Lepisosteus oculatus: one gene and its partner. The protein of the gene in region 1 interacts with the protein of each later gene in a pairwise test. Links are inferred from orthologs where the notes say so. Each region holds a gene or a part of one and is shown on either strand. Other genes may lie near its edges.

Region 1 (10,544 bases):
AAAGTAGCATCAAAAGACCTATCGACACTTAAATTACAATAGTGAATATTATTCCTTCTAGTTCAGTCATAAAACCATTCTTTACATCTGTTCAGCAGGTCTTTGACATTTCACGGTACACAAAAAATGCTCTTACTGTATATGTTTTCTCTCTCTACAGGAACATCCGAAACAAGGACAAAAGGGAGACTCCAGGATAAATTACAAGAATATAAAACAAAAAGAGCAAAGAGTAACATTGTGAATTGGCATGAAAGACATTTTCTGCATGAGCACGACAACTCTTCAGTACACCCCAATCAAAGCAGAATAGCCAAGGCAGTGTCAGTACAGCACTGCCCAGGCCTCTGCTGTACAAAGCACATGCAGCTCCTCCAGTACACCAGCTTACTGAAGCTTCTGCTCACTTCACAAACAGTGGTAAAACATTTAATATTGAGCAAATAACACTATTCTGTCTGCCTGCTTGTTTTGCGTAGCCTACCTTTCTCCCAGAAACACAGATCATCTAACGACCCCCCCCGGAAGAAATGCAAAGAACACATTAGAAGCATTTTTCAAAGTGTATCTTCTGCTTAATGATAGCAGTTCAGGCTGTCCCATGAAAGTACTGTATGCTGCTTCATCTATAAGGCTTAAATTTAAATTCACACCTTTACCAGTGAAATGGAACTACCTACCAATGACATCATCCCTTAAAAGCATTTAGCAAAAACAGTCACAAATGTAATTCTTTTAAGAAATGCAATATGAAAACACAGCCACATTTGCATTTTCTCATTAGGTTGCAAGGCATAGTACACGTATGTTATAAAGGGCTTCTGAAATCTCTCATTTTATATCCTTAATGGTCAGCAAGCATTACAGTAGAAACATACTGTAGATCACATCAGAATAATTCACTAGGGCCTCCGCAGCCTCATATCTAAGAACCTAAAATTACATCCTACTCCATTCACCAATCACTTCCTACCTTTGCAGCAATTAGTTGTTCCTGGCCCAAAATCATATCCTAAAATCCGTTTTCACCTTGTTCATGAACTACCAGATTTAAAGGTTTAATTCTGCACACCGCTATTCAGACTATGGTGTACAGAACGTTACCACCATAACTGGACAGACATGACATTAACAGAGAACAGATAAAGATCAGATAAAAAAGGTCAAAACCATTGAAACAATGCTCAGAATCTCCAGTGCCTTCCTGAAAGAAGGAATGCTTCTAAGGTGTATGCAAGATTCTAAAAAGCTAAAAGTGTCTATTTTGTTTTTCTCGAATTTGTCACCTTTCAACCACAGTTTGTCACTTATCTATCACCTTCCTGGACCAGGCAGGAAAAAACGAAACCATCCTTCTATACTGTATATGTAGCATCACACTGGACCAAAATCATAATGCTGCATTGTTCTATACTGACAAAGCCATCTCCTCAAGGGCAATGCACCAAGTTCAGCTTTCACTTTTAATTGATGAAGGTTTAAGTTTTACTAAAGACACTTGCAATTCCTGTACAGCAGGCAACTACCACTTTTTTTTACAATAGCAGATTTTCGATCTCAAGTGTGAGGTTCAAAACATCACGTTGTCAAAAAGCTCAAGCCTATGAAGACACAGCCAAGAGGAGTTTTAGTAGATATGATGCTCAACTCACCATCTGGAGTCCTGTGGTCTGACTCTTCTTCTCTCACAGTAAGACTATCGGAGAGTCCCTGCAGCTTTGAGCTGTTCTCCTCGGTGTCACCCAGGGGAACAGCATTAAGGATTCTTGCCAAGGCTTTGGATAAGACAGGGGCCTCCGATTTATTTTCCTGGGGAGCTGTCACCTGCAAGAAGCAGTTAAGACAAGATCAGGGATCAATACAATGCAGATGATACCACAGCAAAGAAAACACTCTACAAGACCTTGGCTGTTTAAATGTATGGAAAGTTCTATTGCACACACCGTGCACGAAACACTGGACTGCTGGACATTTCCCCTGACAGGGAGGTTTGATTAAATGTGTGTTTGACTGCAAAATGCAAAAAGGCTTCTCACATGTTACATTTGAAAATACCGAGACATCACTGCCAGCATACTAGGACATTCATTATCTGGAAGAAACAAATCAGGACACTGCTCACGTCAGCAAAGGCACCGGTTCTTTTTCAGCTTTTATTTAGTGATGAAACAGTCTCCCTGTAAAACCTATACATAAAACGTCAGAACGTTCAGGTTCTGATCAAAATATTCACTTTAAAAACATGTGTATACTTCATTTGTAATTCACTCAAATGGGACATTATTGGAAAGTAAGAGCTGGTATAAGACGCTGTATATTTTATTTTTAGGCAAGCCCATGCATACATATGATCATTTTAGAATAAAATCTGGGTTAGGGTTAGGGTATTGGGACACCTTCACTTTCAGCAAACTTGATAGCGTAAAAGCCAGTGTTTGGTTGCTGATCCCTTTGGGACAATAACAGAACAAAGTCTGCGATCCACACAAAACCCTAAGTCTAATTATTTAAGATACTTTTAGCTGCAGCTACTTTGGGTTCTTTGGATGTTGCGAGTTCAGTTTCTCTTCATCATACTGTATGAAATGCATGCTCAACTGGGGAATGACGTAGTCAGCTTTTCTTTTTTTTTACCTCCACTTCATCCTGCAGAAGCCCCAGTCTCAAGGAATCTGAACCTTCTCAGTCAGTCAGTTAGTCAGTCTGATTTATGAATCACATATCTAGAGCGTAGTAATTTACGGCCCATAAACCTAAATATCAAATTCCATTTCACAACATCTGCACAGTACAGGGGGGTTTAAAATGGAAGTTGTAAGCAGCCTGGGGCTACTGAGCGAACGCCTTACCTACCTTGTTCAGCGCATTGCACAGCGGAGGGCTGGGGCGTTTCGGGTCGGGCACAGAAGCAGCTCTCATGTGCATCGATGCCGGGGGCACAAACCTGGGCTTCTTGGCCACATTGCCACACAGCTGACTTGGAGCCCCTGACCTGCGCATACTGAGATACCAGCCCACCTGCAGGAGTTCAGAAACAGAATAGTTCTATTGAGGCATCGCGTGGGCAGGCTTGCTGGCCCCTGGGTCTTACGATAGCAATGAAAGGCCATGATTGCGATGGACAGGTAATTGGACAACACTATCCTCACGCTGGTGCTCACTAACCTCGGGGAGAATTTTATGAGAGTAGGGTTAAATCTAGCAACCTAATTACGCTTAGGATGAAATCGAGGGTATTGTTGATCTCTTGAAAAGGGATCCTTCAGGCAAATAAGATTTAAACAGCCCAGTACTATGGATATGTTTCCCAAAATATGATGAGTAACATTTCTCTACTTCAAAATGCAGATTACATACAACAAAGCAGCAATTAAAAAAATGATCATCCGAATAAATTACAGATTACAGGTAATCTCATTGGGAGATTTATTACAAATTCATTTTTAAAAAATCATGCCGTTTCTCGTTAGCCTTCAAACTGACACGTCAGTGGACATAACAGCACAAACTGTTCCATATGTAGCTACATATCGTACCGAAACTTAAAGATTATTTTAGCATCTCCGAAAAAGACCTTATATAGACTTACTATATTAAAACAGAGCACATAAGCAGAACTGCCAGTTAAACGGCCGTCCGATTACCTTTATGTTGTGTCTATTACCTGAAAGCTAGACCCGTTTTTAAATGATGTGCTTATATGTCCGATCTAGGTAGTTGTGGGAATGAGAACCGTCGATAATAACGATCCAACAGCCTTCCGTTTTATTAACTGTGGCATAAAAAACAAAACAAAATAGTCAACCTTATCCACGATATACAGCACCGCATTATTACTTACATTAGAAACTTGCAACCAAGCGGGCTAGACGGGCCAAATGACGCCCTTTCTTATGTTTTTATGTTCTAGGTAGACAGAACCCCTCTATACCACAATAAAGATTATTTTTTTTCCCTACAAATCCTCTTCTTATTTCCTCCCGGCGGCGGCCACCTCCGTAGACTCAAGTCTCCCGCGTAACCAGGATCCGCCCTCCGATAGGCCGCGGTCATGGGGCGGAGATACGAGTGCTCCCACCTTCATTTCGCAAAATGAATAGCCTTGCTATTATTAACCTTATAATTATAAGCTCAAATAACGTGAACACAAGAGATTAATGTTCAGACGTGGATAAAAAAGCATCTTATCAGTAAATAAAAAACCTTTTTTGTGCTTTACCGTCACTTCTTGCCACACCGATTATGGTCGCCGTTACACTCCATCTCATGGCGGATGTAAATGTATTTTTAATAGGACGCAGGAATCTGGTCCATAACGTATCATTAGTCTTTTTCATTTTCTATATAAAATACAGAACCACCCGTATTGAAAGCTCGGGTTTAGAAATTAAAGAGAAAAATCCTTAAAACCGCTCCTGCCACACTGCCGAATCACCCCTCGCCGTTTTTTTTGCCGAGTGAATGTCAATATATCGCCACAGTTTGCGACAGTTGGTTCTTGTCACCTGAAAACAGCAGGTAAATAAAATACATTGAAGTAGAGGAATCGAGGGTAAGATACGCGGTGCGTTTTAATTATTCGTATTTGCCTTCCATGTAATTACAAAAAATATTTTTATACGACATTCTGATGCAAAAATACTGAATACTGAAATGACTGGTTTAACTGTCATTGTGCAGAAAGCTTTTCAAATACTATAAGAAACGTAACAATTAAGTCTATATTAAATGGTAAGTTGATTTATGTTTTTCATATGCATATAGTGCTGTGCATTGTGAATTCTGCCAACTTCTCTCCTGCACTGGCTTTCTGTAAATTGTAAAGAACTGTAAATATTTTAAAAACTAAACTTTAAAACAACAGTTCGTACGTACAGTAGTAGCAGTGTAGTGGTGATGTACAAGCATTGCATAAGATTGTCCGGTTATCAAAACAATCAATAACTTTAGGTACTGTAGGTGTACAAACCACGAAGTAAGAGGATAAGATAATAAACGATAATAAATATTTATTATTTTCCCTTTTGAGCTCAGCATCCATGAGCTTCAGTATAACAAGGGTTTCTGTTTGATCCGGTAAAGATACCTTGCATTGTTACTAATACGATATTAACATGGGGGAAGTTGTTAAAGTAGTAGTCTGAAATGGCATAGACGTTCTCTATGTGGACGTCATGAAGCTGAACAGTGTTCGGTAAGTATAGCATCTCAGTTTAACATTGCGCTTTCGAAACGATACAACACAGAAGCTTAGTTGTAGAATTTACCAGTTGTAATTTCTTACAGCTTGTAAGAAATTTACGATTACCAGCACAGAGCAAGGGAAAAGGGTTGTGTGTCTGATGAAGCATGCTGGAGAATCAAGGCTTACAAACTGCAGCAGTGCCAGTCTGTAACTTACAGTGTAAGGGGTTACAGTACATGCAGATAGTGGAAACATAAACTGTGATTAGAAGATAGGGGGAAAACACTGATCTGAACACTGAAAATGCTGCTTATGAAAAGGAAAAGGTAAAGGCATTTGTGCAGTAGTAAAGATTGCACATCTGCAAACTGCCTCGCAGAGCTTGGCAGATTTCACTGTGTGACTGCTATCTTTATTAAAAAGAAAAACATTTGTTGTGTTTGTATTTGGGTTAAATAATTTCGTACATTCAGTTCCAAAAGGAGGTTCTAAATGCACAGGTATGAGCTTGTGCAGTTCTGAGTCTTGGATAAACTTGCTCCATGTATCGCACCAGTCCAGGGGAGTGTGATCCGGATGGCAGGGTGGGTGGGGATACACCACGAGCCCTGTCCCTTGCTGGTGGTGGACTGTGATGCACCCTCCAGTCCCTCTCTCACGTCTCTATCTGTTTTACCCGGTGGAGAAGGTCTGAGTCACAGTGGTTCAGGGACCCATCAGCCCCTTTAGGGCACCCTAGGCCCTCTGACGCAGTGGCAGAAGTGTGCGGATGTGTAAGAGAGCTGGGTGGAGCTAAATAAAACCAGTCTTTCCCTGAACTACATCTAGTGGATAGTGCGCACATCTACTTTACCTGTTGGCCTTCCCTCATAAATTTCTGTGTTGACATCTGTCCATCGATTTTCTAACCACGCCAATGCATCCCATTCACAGGAGGAGCCTGGCACAAGGGGCACGAGGCGGGGTACACACTGAAAGGGGCACCAGCACACACAGTCGTACACACACCAAGGCCAGTTTTCCCTGAAGCCAGTTAACCTACCAATATGTCCTGGGATTGTAGGAGAAAACCTATGTGAACATGGGGAGAACATGCAAACTCCACACAGACAGCAGCCCAGGTCCGGCATGGAAACAAGGGCCCCAGCACTGCGAGGCATCAACGCTAACCCTTGTGCCACCATGCCATGCCACCCTCTGTGTTGACAGTGTTTTGTAATGGCTTGTTGTTTTTCGGATGACTCTACCATAAAGTAGTGTGTTATATTCAGGGTATCGTCACCTACAGCGGAGTTGTAAGAATAATCTTTGACATGGCGGTTACTTAAATGCTGACTTATGTACCATGTGCCTTGAGGTACTTTAGGTGATGGTGCTAATTTATCTTTTTTTTCCAGAGTGACAGCCTTCCATAACAGTATTTGTGTGTAATATTTGTTTTCTTGATATTGGTGTAGACAGATTGAGCATATGTTACAAATGTCAGGCAGTTGTAAAATGTCCCTTATGCAAAAAGGTTTCTAAAAAAGAGAAGAAATTCAGTCAGTGAAGGAGGGGTTTTGAACTGAACGCCTTTGCAGTCAGAATACATTTTGGTCTTTGTTTTTTAGACTGCTTGATATAAACTACAAAGACACCTCTCTACTAACAGTGGAAGGTGAAATTGTGGATTTTGTTCTACACTGCTGAAATGTCATTAAGCTAATACCATTAACTTGTAGGGAGATTCTAAGTGCATTCAAGGTCATGGTAGCTTAAGTGCTGGTTGATTGAGGTTATCTTATTCGAAAAGGAATCCATTTCACTCCAGACACGATATCACGTCAGCTGAGGGTCACATGAGCGCTGGGCCTCCATTGTTGCACCTAATATAGTGAGAATTGATTTGAACAATCAGTACGTTTAGTAAAATGGAGGTGTAAGACTAGCGAATCCTAACATCCATCCAGTATCATAAAGCTGCTTATCCTGGTAGGAGTCAGAGCAAGCCAGAGGCACCAGGCAGGGCTGGGAGCGCATTTGCTTGTTCTCCCTCTGGATGGGAAGCCAGTCCTTTGAGGGGAGCTGCACTAACGCATCTATTGAAAGTGCTGCAACAAAAGGAGTGTTTAATGAGAAGGGGCGGCTTCTATCACCAGTGACTCCGAGGAAAACTAAACTCCTGAACTAACTTGGATTCATTGCACTTGCTGCAATTAAGTGAGTGACCCTCAAAGCCAAAAAAGAGGACATTTGCTTCCTTGTAAATTGATCATGTCAGAGAATTGTGTGCACAACTTTTACATGATGATGATGAAGTGCTCAGAATGTTTGATTTTATTTTTGCAAGGTTGATACTTATGTCCTTTTTTCTGCTTTGATATGCAAGAGAGAGACTTTCAGTAGCAAGTTTAAGATTAAGGTGTGTTTGTCTGGAAATGTAATGTATACTCGTAATGCAATTATTGATTTTCTATCAAAATTGATTTTTTTGCCAGTTTGGATTTGGACTAATAAAAAGCAGAGCAGGTTTATCACAATCATTCATTTCTGTCTTTTAAAATGCATTTTTAACCATTTTATTGGAGTACTTTATGGGGACTATAATTGATAATTATGTATCAATCATTTAGCCTTTCTGTAAACATTGTCTAGTATAACTCCTAAGTGTCTATAATTTCTGTACTTTTCAACATATTCTTATTGGCTCAGACCTTGTGGTATTGACATCTAAACATCAAAGCAGTAAATATACTTTTTCAAATAGGGCACATCCCCTTCCCTTGGCAATTCCCTTCCCTTGAAATTTGCCTGACACTTTGCATTTAACTCTGTGATGGGCCTCAGACTCAGATTTCAGGCATAAAATGAAACAAGGGCGTAGTGTACAATCTATCAGACATGTACAGAAATGTTAGGTTATGTAATTAAATCTGGTCAGAAATGGGAAAATCCCAGCTTTTCAGCCTTACATTTTACATTGCAAGAATTGAAGGGAAATATTTACAGTAGAAGATGGGCCTACTTGCAAGTTTTCAAATGAAACCATGACCCATCTCATGAAGGGGATGTCATGTATGGCTAATATTTACACTGTAGCCATTTCTCACAAAGTTTTTTTTTTAATCAACATTAAAGGTAAAGCCAACAATCACTTTTTATTGGTATGTCCCAGCTAATATAAATAGTTTTTTTAGCTTTTACTCAACCCTGATATGTTTGTTCTCTAACCGATGCTCCTGTTTTGTCATTTAAAATTTTAGAAAGGTCACCAAAAGTGAAATTAACCAGACGTTATCTCTTAACCCCTTGGTAGAAGAGCAGTGAGGAAGAATTTCAATTAGGAATATTTCCGGACCCGGCAGCAGAGCATCACCACTACAGAGTAAGAAACGCACAAGACAGAATGTGTCATAAATTACGGTGAAATAATCCATTAGGCAAACCCCATCTTGAGTGTGAAGTGAACTACCCAGTGAAGTCCTTTCACCTTTAGGAAGGTTTGCACTGTGCCCCAGCAGTGAGAAGCTAAAGGACAGGCCAGTGGCTGCCTCTTATTTCTAATTTTTCTTCATATCAGACATCAGAGCACATTTAAAAAGATATGGCTATACACCATAAGAAATTCAAAAATTTATTTTTTTTTACATATTTTTGTTTACAATTCTGAATTCTGGGTATTTTTTTTTTTTGCACTAATTTAGCAGGCGAAATTGGAAGCCGTGAAGAAGGAGGCTCTTTATTCGGATGGCTAAGGCGGGCACTGTGTCCGGTATCTCAGCAGAGGGCTGGGGGTGGCTGACATGCTACACCTCTGTGGGAATGCTCTCTAGGGGAAAGGCTGAAGCTCTGCCCATGTGAACGCGGGGTTATTGTTTGCTTTGTTCAACAACTGGCTGTTTGGGCTCCAAGTATCTGTTTCTTAGGAAACTCAACAGCTCATACCACGTTTCTGTCTCCCCCCCATACAGGCAGTGTCAGGGGCAGGAGTGAAGGATTACAGGGAGCCTTAAAAGGTGAGAAGGAGAGTGAAGTGAACTAGACAATTGAAGATGAACAAACAGAGCATCGGGAGAGGTGTTTTTCTGTTACTATCTTTTATCTTCACACGTCGGTGCGTGCTCACCTTTCCTGTATCCTGCCGTTCGTTGTCGTGATGTCTGCAGTGTGATTCTCGAGGTCTGTGTCCACAGCAGAATGTAATTAAAGATGTATGCTGTGCCTTGAAACTCAATAGGCGACGTGCAGTACAACTGCAGTCTGTAGCTGCTCGCCAGCTATTACCTCTTGCTCTTTAAGCCTTAATGCTGATGTTTGTAACTGGCTTTTTGAAATGAGAATTATGGGCCTTAAAGCAATCTCAGTTCAATTTTAATCCTGCAGGTTTGATGGTGCAAGTCATGGAGTCTTGAGACTTCGCATTCTTGTTTTCCCTGTGATGCATGCTTATTATCCTTATATACTCTACAGCCAGGTATCTTTTATGTTTCCTCGTTGATGTGGTAATAGTTATGTTTTGACTCCAATTTGCGGTTTGTTTGCCAGTAGTAAATTGCTTAATCTGCATCAGGGAGCCTGTTTTTCTGACGATAATGCTACCAGCCACCCCTGAGGTCAATGAAAAAGAAATAACACGCATGAGAGTTTGTTTTTTGAAGAAGATCGTCTACCTGATGAGGGGGATTTCTTTCCCCGTGTGTCCGTGTCTCAGTGGGCGTGCCAGATGGGTTATGACCTCGAGCGGTTTGTGGGCTACGTGAACGAGGGCCTGCTGTGCTGCGTGTGCCGCGATGTGCTGGAGGACCCCCTGCAGGCGCCCTGCGAGCACGCCTTCTGCAGCTCCTGCATTCACGGCTGGCTGGTCCACCACCACACCTGCCCCGAAGACAGGCAGGCCCTCGACGCCTCCCTGCTGCGGCCCTTGTTCAGGTAACCGCACAGACATTATTCATCTGGATATGATATGATATCATCATAACATATCATATTATATCTGATATGGTATGATATGATATTATTTGATATTATATTATCATATATCATATCTGATATGATATTATTTTATTTGATATTATACTATATTTATCTGTCTAGATATTATTATATTAATAGTATAGTATTATTCGTCATAGCAGTAGCATCAGTGTATCCCATAATAATAATAGTACAGTAGTAATAAAGAAGATGGATTGACATTGCATTTAGTTGTGATTGCATTCCAAAAGAAAAAAAACAACCACAAGGGGGAGGAAGGGGAAAAATAGGCGAGGCGGAGACCAGTGGACTCCTGTCCCAGCGCTGTCTTCTCCGCAGGTACATGCGCAACGACCTGAGCCGGCTGCAGATCCGCTGCCGGAACAGGGAGCACGGCTGCGAGATG
Region 2 (9,965 bases), on another chromosome or scaffold:
TCTAAAGCAATTTAGTAACAAAGATGAGCTCTGGAACATACTGGTTTCAAAAGACATGACAAAAAACTATTAGAATATTAGCTAGGTCTTATTAGCTAGGAATATTCGCTGAAATACAACACTGACACACTAAAAACCTCTTCAATCCTGAAAATAGAAAGCTACAAAAAGACCCGATTCAATTATTAAAACCCTAAAAGGCACTGCCAAAGTCTGGTCAGAATCAGCAGGGAAATGTTGAGGGCACAAATGAAAACAAAGGGGAAGTGATTTTAAAACTAAGAACAGGAGGCACCTTTTTTATACAGCCTCCTCTTATTTGTAACATATCCCATGTTCTTAAAATTGGAGGATTACCAATGAGATCTTTAAAGCAAAGCACATTTATATATTTGCAGTCAGGAACCTACGTAAAATACAGAAATTGCGGGAGAACAGTTGAACCTATGGTACTTTACAAACATTTTTTATATCTTAACTGTTACTTACAGATAGCTTGGACGATCATGGTATCCACTTTATCTGGGCTGAACTTCAGCTTGTACCGAGACAGGCTGGGGAAAAAAAAACAACCACAAGACAATCTGAGCACAGAACCACCAGCAACAAACCTCTTCCAAGACTGACAACCGATTCTGGAATTCTGGAATTAGGCAGGTCACATCATGACGTTTAATATCAAAAACCTAACACTGCAGAATGACAACTCTGTACAACTCTGCATTACCCATGCGATCGAGGCTTGCCGTCTCAGTGGTAGTGACGAATTCTGACGAGATTCTTCACGAAGCATTTCAGCCAGCAGAATGTAATCATTGACAGCGCAGCCCCGCTCAGCCAGAAAGGGTTTGATTTGCGCCCCCACCCTATCCCCCTCTGTCCTGGGGAGCTCCACCCACCTGTGAGCCAGCCCCAGGGCCATGGCACTCATCTCCCTGGGGGGCAGGCCGGTGATCAGCCCCTCCATCTGGTTCCGGATCCCCCTCATGAGCTCCGCCACGGCTGGGCTGTGCACGCAGCTCAGGTTCAGCTTGTCCTGTGGGGGGCGGAGTGGGATCTTAGTACACACACACACCAGGAGGACATCGTGTTTTACCTCTAGGCTGCCATTTAACAACCCCCCACCCAATACACCCTATCAAACTGTCTCACAACGCATCTCCAAAGTGCTTTGATCCAATACAGACACCAAGAATAAGATGTAAACTTTAAATCATACCGACACTTTATATTGTCTACTACCAACAAAAGAAATTGAAGTCTATCCCACTGCTTTAATGATGCAGGTGCAGCACACCTGGCAGACATCCAACTTTAAGTGATCTCAACAAGATCTAACACCCTTGTCAACCTTACAAGAGCCTGACACTGATGGCTGCTGGGAGCACTGCGGGTTCTGTGTTTTTAATTGAGGAAGGAAATCAAAGAAGCAACATGAGGTTTTCTGCCATTTCCTTCTTAATATTTAAGAATGCACACAACTATCAATGCCTGCGGGTTCTCAACCAGTGAAAAGGCGCAGCTAAGGTTTTTTTTCTGGTGTCAGAGCTACCCTGAACTGCTTGATTGACAGCAGGAAAAAGTCCTTGACACGTGGCAATCACAGGAGCTGGGAATCACCTCCCTAGCCGCGTGATCTGGGGGGAATCTTTTAACAGGCTGACAGAATTCTTGGGATCATTAAGCCACTGGAAACCAAAGACACAAAAAAAGGGGCCTCCGCATTCGCAAACGCGGAAACTTCAAAACGTCAACCGGTCATCTTTACGCAAAGGCCCAGGGAGCCGCGGTCGTACTTTGATCACGCCGCCCAGTTTGGCATCGCTGATGGCCAGCTGCTCGTGGGCTTCCTTCGCCACAACCCTCTTCAGGACCTTCTTCAGGCTCTTCCCGATCTTGCCCTCCACCAATGCGGTGGCAGCTAGCGAGAGATTTGGACAGCGTTAGGCGTGGCGGGCAGACCAGCAATGGCCAAAACAAACCACCAAGGAGCGGAGGGAGAAGCCCGTGGCCCACAAACGCCAGCAGGCAATGTTTCTCCCCCGAATGCGATCGATTCTCCCGCTGCACTGCTGTCTCAGTGGTAGTGACGAAAACTGAAAATTGACCTCATTTGTTTTTCACTCAGGCAACACAGAATGCATCATCGACAGCAGAGTCAAAAGTAAAAACTACCATGTAGGCCTTAACTGCATTTTTTTACAGGTTTCCTTTTTTTGTTTGAGTACTGGTTGTCAACGGCTCTCACAGAACATAACTGTAAAAGTTAGGGGTGAACTAACTAAGGATATGACAATATCTGTGTATTAAACTAACAGAATAAAAACAGTTTCTCACAAAAACCTTTTTTGTATGTTCACGTACAAGCACAGGAAGCAATAAAACCAAAAACTTTTCGCATCAGGAGACGCGAAGAACCACATACATGGAAGTGCAGGACTGTTTGGGATACCACTAAATTCTTAAATTGAACCCCAAAAAACATCGTACCTGCCAGTGCTTCTGTGGTGTCCTGGAATTTTTCAAAGTGTTTGAGTTTCACTCTGGCAAAAGAAAGATTAAATTCAGATCAAACAATCAGAAAAAAAGAACTGACTTAAGCGTATTCAAAACACTTGATAAAATAACACATATCCAGAGCAGACTGTTTAATCTGTACAGGAATTGTCACCAGCCTAACACAGTACTCTGTCAATCAGATTAAATAAAATGACTTGTTTTATACAATTCTGTCCAAAGTATGCATACTGTAGGTTTTCCACTTAAATAAAAGCTTAGTCTAGTTTCTGGGAAGTTGAAGATTTATACAGAAGGGTTGATTTCAATCCTAGAGGTTGGTAACATACCTACAAGGTAAAAGAAAAGCCTTTAAACGTTTAAAAAAACCACAAAATGAAAATGTATTTACATTTTATTTGCTCTTTCTGGAGTCTGGAATTCTTCCCACAATTTGTCCACCTCCTGGAGTTTTTTCTCATTGAGAACCTGAAAAAAAAGTTTAAGGGGTTAGAAACACTAAAAAGAGTCGCCTGTCGACTCACTATGGATTAACTCATTTTTAAACAGATCTTGGGCTACACTGCTTATCCTTACCGGTTGTCTTATTCGACATTTTCTTATTAAACGATTTTGACTTCGACCATTCCATCAAGACAGATATATCAACTCCCACTCCCACTGAGCGTTCAATAAAGTTCCCCAATGTAGCTGCACCTATTCCCCGTCAAGCCAACAGAACGAACGTCTCTTTACCTGCTTTGTAACATTTTGTGTAAATGCAGAACTACATTTTCCCTCATACTTTTCACCCTGGAATTAACGTCTTTTTCTTGTTGCATCAGCAAAGTTTAACAAGAAAAAAACACAACGTGAAATCGTGCCCTGCGTTAGAGATCATATTGAGATCAAACACGCCGAGCCAAAAGTTGTTCCAATGCAATACACCTCTAACCATCTAACGATACTTTTCTGAAACTGTTTAGCGTTTCGCTAAATATATATATAAAAAGTGGACGATCGTTTCTTTCATGCGCCCAGAATTCTGAAACCTTTCAAAAAAAGGTTTATTAGCTGCGATTTTCAGATTCTCTCTCTACTCGTCTCAGCAGGCTGTTTTCATTCCGATTTCTGCAAGATCGAGCAATCAGATTTGGAAAGCATGAAAGTTAAAAGTCCTCGACCTAATGCCAAGTTACATGTAACCCATGTGGCCAGTCTGCACGCAACGTGGTAGCAGAGAGCGACGGGCCCGCACTCCAAACTTCTTCCCCTACACCTTTTCGTAGACAATTTCGCACACCAAGATCACCGCGTACCACCATTCATGCCCAGATCATTTTAATTTCCCTTAAAACACTTTTATTTGAATGAACATATCGGCAACGCGGGCAAAAAGGACACGCACACGGTAGCACAAGATGGTCCCTTTGCTCTCCTTAGTTCAAATTACTGAAGCCCCCACCCATTTATTTTTCCTTACCTTAAAAATTGCATAGCCAGCGGCGGTCTCGAACAGCACCAACATCTTCGATCATCTAAGGACGTTTTCCAGCCTCTAAACGTGGATTTTTCCTTTACTTAGGATCGGCACGCTCCTCCACCACGGGCTTCTGCAGAGACCCTCCACGCGGTGTAGGATCCCGAGACTGCGCACTCCAGGCGCCTGCGCGCGGGGGCGGAGCCGCACACCGGAAACGGAAGGGCTGTGTTAGGAACCGGAGACGAGACCCAGGAGGCACGCTCGAGTGTTTCCGAACCTTTCCGAGTCTTTCCGAAGGCCCATTGAGTGTTTTAAAATGGTTTCAATGTAATGGGTGCTCATCAAGAAAGATCCGACAATACACTTTTGCCTGTCTCGCCTCGCACCTTTTTGCTTATCAGATACAAAAAACCCGTGAATATATCACAAATAATCACAAATAAATTTGACATTGGATGGACGGACATTGTGCTTTGGCTATCCAGTCAAAGCGTTTTGATGGCATACTTATTTCGAAAATACGTCACACGCGGTTGTGTTATATCAAGCCTTCAGCTCACGCAAAAAATGTCAGTTGCATTAGACAAGGACGTTTATTTAAGGGAATAAATAAAAGAAGAACTTTTAGTCTTCTGATGCTGAATGTTTTTTGTATAATGATAAGAAAGAGACACTCACGGCTCTAAGTCTTGACACTGTACAAGTGTATTCATTTATACTATTAATTTACTACATTGGCATTGATCAACAGTTCTTATTTTAAAGTTCTTATACAGACATACTGTATTTAAGGGATGCACTTTGGTGCAGTGGTTAGCAGTCTCACAGTGCTGGGGTTCAATTCCTGGGCTGCTATCTCTGTGCTCAGTTCTACCTCTGGGTGCTCTTCTTTCCTCCTACAGTTCAAAGACATACTGTTAGGTTAAATGGCTTCTGGGAAGATTGACCCTGGTGTGTCTGTCTGCCCTGTGGTTGACTGGTGTAATGGATGGATGATTTTTCCCATAGGAAAACAAGACCCGGCCTATAATAAACACCAGTCCTTAAGAGAACACGGTATTCAGCATTGGTCATCACAGTCTCAGGTAGAACATTTACAGTATGAGCTGAAGAAAGCAGATTTCAGGCACAGATCACACAACCAAAAGACGTTCGATATGAGAACCTTAGGATGAGACGTAAAACCGAGTTCCTGACTCTCTGTGGTCATTAAATATGCCAGGGCGTTTCTCGAAAAGAGTAGGGGGTGTAACCCCAGCGTCCTGGCCAAATTTCCCATTGGCCCTTACCAATCATGGCCTCCTAATAATCCCCATCTATGAATTGGCTTCATCACTCTGCTCTCCTCCCCACTGAGAGCTGATGTGTGGTGAGTGTACTGGTGCCCTATGGCTGCCATCGCATCATCCAGGTGGATGCTGCACATTGGTGGTGGTGGTAACTTGTGTAATGTATTAATATAATATTAGACTACTGAACGTATATAGTAGATACTATATTGGTTCTACTAGATACTATATTGGTAAGTACTATTGTAGCTCTACAGTATAGTATTTCAGTACACCTCGCAGTGTATACCATAATATTTCACTCTAATATTTAACCATATCACAAATATATATATATAAAGTCCATACTATAGTAATGTTACAGCACATACTGTACATTAGTTAAGAATTTCCCAAATTATAGATGTTATAAAATATAAATTATATTATCATTCAAATAAACAAAATGTTATTTTAGTTGTTATATTAATCTATAGACTCATACTACACGTCCATCCTATAGTAAAGTGCTGTAATTTTCCAAACATGTTTTATATTGTCTTCTAAGCTTTCACGAATAGGGCATGAGCTAACTTTATAAAACAGAGCTCTTCAAAGAATATATGCGTCCTCATTATTTTCACTGGGATGAATCTTAATCAGACCCGGTACCTTTGCCAACGTGGGTCTCCCTGTAAGCAGGATGTACGAAGAGGACCATCCGAAAAGCACATTTTAAAAACAAAATTGTTTTCTCTTTGGCTACACGACCAAATGACGTCACTTCCCGAGGAAGTCCCTCCCCGATTCCAATGAGGTCAGTGTCTGTGTTTTTGTGGGGGGATTGTAGGAAAGAGAAGAGCGCTTAATACTAAATAACATCATCATAAAATATCAAAGATTTAGTTGTAAGAGTCACAGGGAAAAACAGAAGCAAGCATGTCTGATACGGTAAGTCTGTGATCTGTGTATAGGAACTAAACATCTATATTAGCTGATCAGACTCGGTGTTTTCGGGCGCATAGCGTGCGTGTACTGTGAATCAAGATACAGCCTGAATAATAAATAATTATATTTTACTTTTATGAAAAAAATACAGTATATTAACCAGTAATGGAATGGGCGTTTAAAACTTTGTCAGAAACTAACGGGTCTGTTCAAGAGGAGTTGAGATATCTGCAATTTACAGCGCCGATGTGCTTAGGGGTACTGTTCTTGATGTCTCAGAATTTAAACGAAATAATCTTTAAAAAAATCGAGAGTGGGGAAGGCTGGGTTGTCTTTCGGTACAGTGCATGCATTTGTTTTGCCGAAAAATTAACAAATGTGTAGGGATTGTTTTTTAGGACTCTTCGGTATTCAGTGAAAAGCGATCGTGGCCCACTGGTACTGTCGGGAGTGAAACTGAAAATAAATGGATTGTTGTAGTTCGGAGTTGAAATGAAGGTTTTTGTTACTTAAGTGAAGTTAATTTCCTTCCGAAGCTGAACAGTAGATTTTGTTCTTCGCAACGTAATAAAAGGGCAGGAAAGCACATCGAGTCCTTAAAATAGGTGTCGAGACACAAGTAACTGCTTAAGGAGTTGTATTTAACATAAGCGGTAGTACAGTGATGGATGATAGTAGTTTGAACATTTTTATGTTTTCATATTTTTATGATTGTCTTTTAAGATGAGAAAAAGGGCACTAAAACCACCATATTGCTTGATATAATAGATACAATAAACGTATGTCTGTTGGCCTCTACAACTCTGGGATTTGTAGAAAGCAGCAGAAATGGCTTCCTACTTGCCTTTGCATATATTTGCCTCTGCCTTCCTTACATGAGTAGAGCCTGCAGTTATGGTGAACTTGGGCCATGAGAGTGTTGTGTTGTATGGTCCCATAGGACCGCAGTTCAGCAAAAGGTCTGCATCTCTATACGATTCTTGCTTTTGAGCTTCAGAAAGAGTTAACTCAATTAAAGAGATCAAGTGGAAAGGATCTTAAAGAAGGCTGCAATCCATCACCCCAGATCTGATAGATGCTTTAATGGCAAGACACTGGGATAATGAGTGGGGGAAAAAAAGGAATTATTTCTGAAGTTTGTGTGGACACAAAGACGAGGCCTACAGTGTAAAGTTGAGCCTGTCTGTTAAGATTATTGGCAATTCTGTCATGGATTGGCTCGACACAAATGTGCCGCGAGTCAAGAATTAACTAGTAAAACATACATGTGATATTATAGCTTCACACATTAAGACAGGGAACCCCAAAAAAACGCAAAAGCCCAAAACCCCATATGTTTGTTGGTTGTTTTGCCAGCCGCAGTGCTTATATTTAAGTTGCTGACTTCCAAACACACAAGTAGAGGGATGTAGAAGCCGAACTGATATCCTATAGCCACCTCAAAATCCAGCAGTGGTAGTAAAATAATTTGTTTGCCACATTGTCACGACAACAGCTCTTCGAAGGTTTAGAACTCCCTTAAACGGGTAGATAACAAAGAAACCCTTTGGCGCAGCCCTTAAACTTGCAGGGATTTGACGAAAAAGCGTGTTTGTAGCGCCGCGAAAAAACAGTGAGGTAACTATCAATGAATGTAGTTTCTCTGATCAGAGATTTGGGTGCAGCGCCGGGGCCGTGGGTTAAATTCCTGGAGCTGGGGTGCTGTCTGTGTGGAGTTTGCATGTCCTCCCTATGTGTACGTGGGTTTCCTCTGGTTGCTCTTACAGTCCACGAACGTACCCGCAGTTTAATTGGCCCGAGGGGCGAGTGTGTGTGTGCCCTGCGATGGATAGGCATGCTTTCCTGGGTGAACCCTGACTTGTTAGCCTGTTGTTAGTCCTGATTGGCTCCAGCTCCCCTGTGACCCTGTATCGGATAAAGTGGTTACGAACTGGATGGAGGATCAGAGATTTCAGGTACATTAGGACCTCACTGCAAATTCTTTCTTTGTTTTATGCTCTTTTAAATACTGAGTTAAGTGTTGTATAGCGCCGAATGAGACACTTTCTGTATCGGCCTCTCTGTGTGCATCTGTGAGCTCAGCGCTGTTTATTCAGAAGACAAAAACAGAGATGGAACCAAATATAATCTTAACTGTACAAAGCAGTTGTTATGGATACCACCTATTACACGAATTGTTTCCTGGAATGGGTTTTCGAAGAATTTTACGGTTAATCTTGTAGAACTTTAACCATCACGGGCATAATATTGTAGGGGCAGCTGTTTTCAAAGATCCATACAAACCAAGGATGGGAACAGAGCTTTGTTCTTTTTGACAATATACAGGAGACACAGGCCCAGACAAACTGGAGAATTCTAAACGCAGGTCTGCTCTTTACAGAGGCAGTGTACAACTTACGTACACTTCCTGTATGTTTTCATTAAAGCAATTTTCATTTGTATCCTTCATTATTCATTTTTTTTCCATCCTAGGTATGCTGTGTAAATACTTTGTTTCTGTTTTGACCACTTTGCGTTACAAGCCGATGCTGCTGTTGTGTTACAGATCGATTGCGGGATGTGCAGTTGAAATGAGATTGTTCTGCTGATATCTGAGACTTACATTTAAAAATAATAATAATTGCTTACATTTATATAGCACTTTTCTGGACATTCCACTCAAAGCGCTTTACAGGAAATGGGGACTCCCCTCCACCACCACCAATGTGCAGCCCCACCTGGATGATGCGACGGCAGCCATAGTGCACCAGAACGCTCACCACACATCAGCTATCAGTGGGGAGGAGAGCAGAGTAATGAAGCCAATTCATAGATGGGGATTATTAGGAGGCCATGAGTGGTAAGGGCCAATGGGAAATTTGGCCAGGACACCGGGGTTACACACCTACTCTTCTCAAGAAACGCCCTGGGATTTTTAATTATCAAAGAGAGTCAGGACCTCGGTTTTATGTCTCATCTGAAGGATGGCACCTTTTTAGAGTATAGTGTCCCTGTCATTATACTGGGTTATTAGGACCCACATAGACCACAGGGTGAACGCCCTCTGCTGGCCCCACTAACACCTCTTCCAGCAGCAACCTTAGTTTTTCCCAGGAGGTCTCCCATCCAGGTACTGACCAGGTTCACACCTGCTTAGCTTCAGTGGGTTGCCGGTTGTGAGTTGCAGGGTGATATGGCTGTTGGAAGCACTATTTTAGGGGTGGAGAACCCTTAGGCTGGATGTCTAAGTCAAGAATGAAAGAACATTTACAAACGAGAGGAGTCCATTTGGCTCATGGTAGGTAGTAGCAATTCATAAGTTTGTAAAGACTTGAAGCACATCTAAGCATTGATCAGTTCAGTAAGTTAATTGGTTCAATAAGTCCGGAAAAGCCAACTACAGTCCTTGAGTGCTACAGGGTGTTGGTATTTTGTTAATTTAGAAGGTCTCTGAACTACTTAATTGAAAGCCAAGGTTTTTCATCAGAATTCCTTTGGTTCTGGATGGTTCTACGCAAACACATTGGGCAAACACACAAAACCCATTGCTCTCTGCTGTCAATAAATGTTATGGGTGGAGCATAGAGCTGAAACCAACCAGCCTTAAACCTAAGAATCGAAAGTGAGCAATTAAGACAAAATGATCATTTCCTCACTGCCGTTCCTACCTTGCTGGTGTTGAAGTTGATTACGTGTGACTCATAAAACCTGCTGAGTTGTGGTTGCTCATGACCAGGACTGGACAAGCCTATTAAAATTGGCCCGCCACCTTTATAATTCTCCTTGACATT

Evidence for each region.
Region 2: the proteins of rad54b (region 1) and sumo1 interact in a two-hybrid assay, tested with the Homo sapiens proteins (2 studies listed by BioGRID and IntAct). The two-hybrid records come from large-scale screens. The link is inferred for Lepisosteus oculatus from reciprocal best matches to the Homo sapiens genes RAD54B and SUMO1.

Annotation. Positions count from the first base shown.
Region 1 is NC_090705.1:7,543,619-7,554,162, forward strand, and holds the start of rad54b (DNA repair and recombination protein RAD54B), read right to left. Parts: upstream 4,303-10,544; 5' UTR 4,220-4,302; intron 4,198-4,219; exon of another isoform or gene 3,842-4,197; intron 3,019-3,841; 5' UTR 3,001-3,018; coding exon 2,854-3,000; intron 1,825-2,853; coding exon 1,653-1,824; intron 1-1,652. Other genes in the region: rnf41l (RING finger protein 151), read left to right, coding at 9,888-10,093, 10,478-10,544. UniProt on the Homo sapiens protein: Involved in DNA repair and mitotic recombination. May play an active role in recombination processes in concert with other members of the RAD52 epistasis group.
Region 2 is NC_090707.1:34,431,573-34,441,537, forward strand, and holds the start of sumo1 (small ubiquitin-related modifier 1), read left to right. Parts: upstream 1-6,043; 5' UTR 6,044-6,186; coding exon 6,187-6,198; intron 6,199-9,965. Other genes in the region: nop58 (nucleolar protein 58), read right to left, coding at 490-554, 900-1,036, 1,797-1,921, 2,491-2,543, 2,909-2,985, 3,980-4,024. UniProt on the Homo sapiens protein: Ubiquitin-like protein that can be covalently attached to proteins as a monomer or a lysine-linked polymer.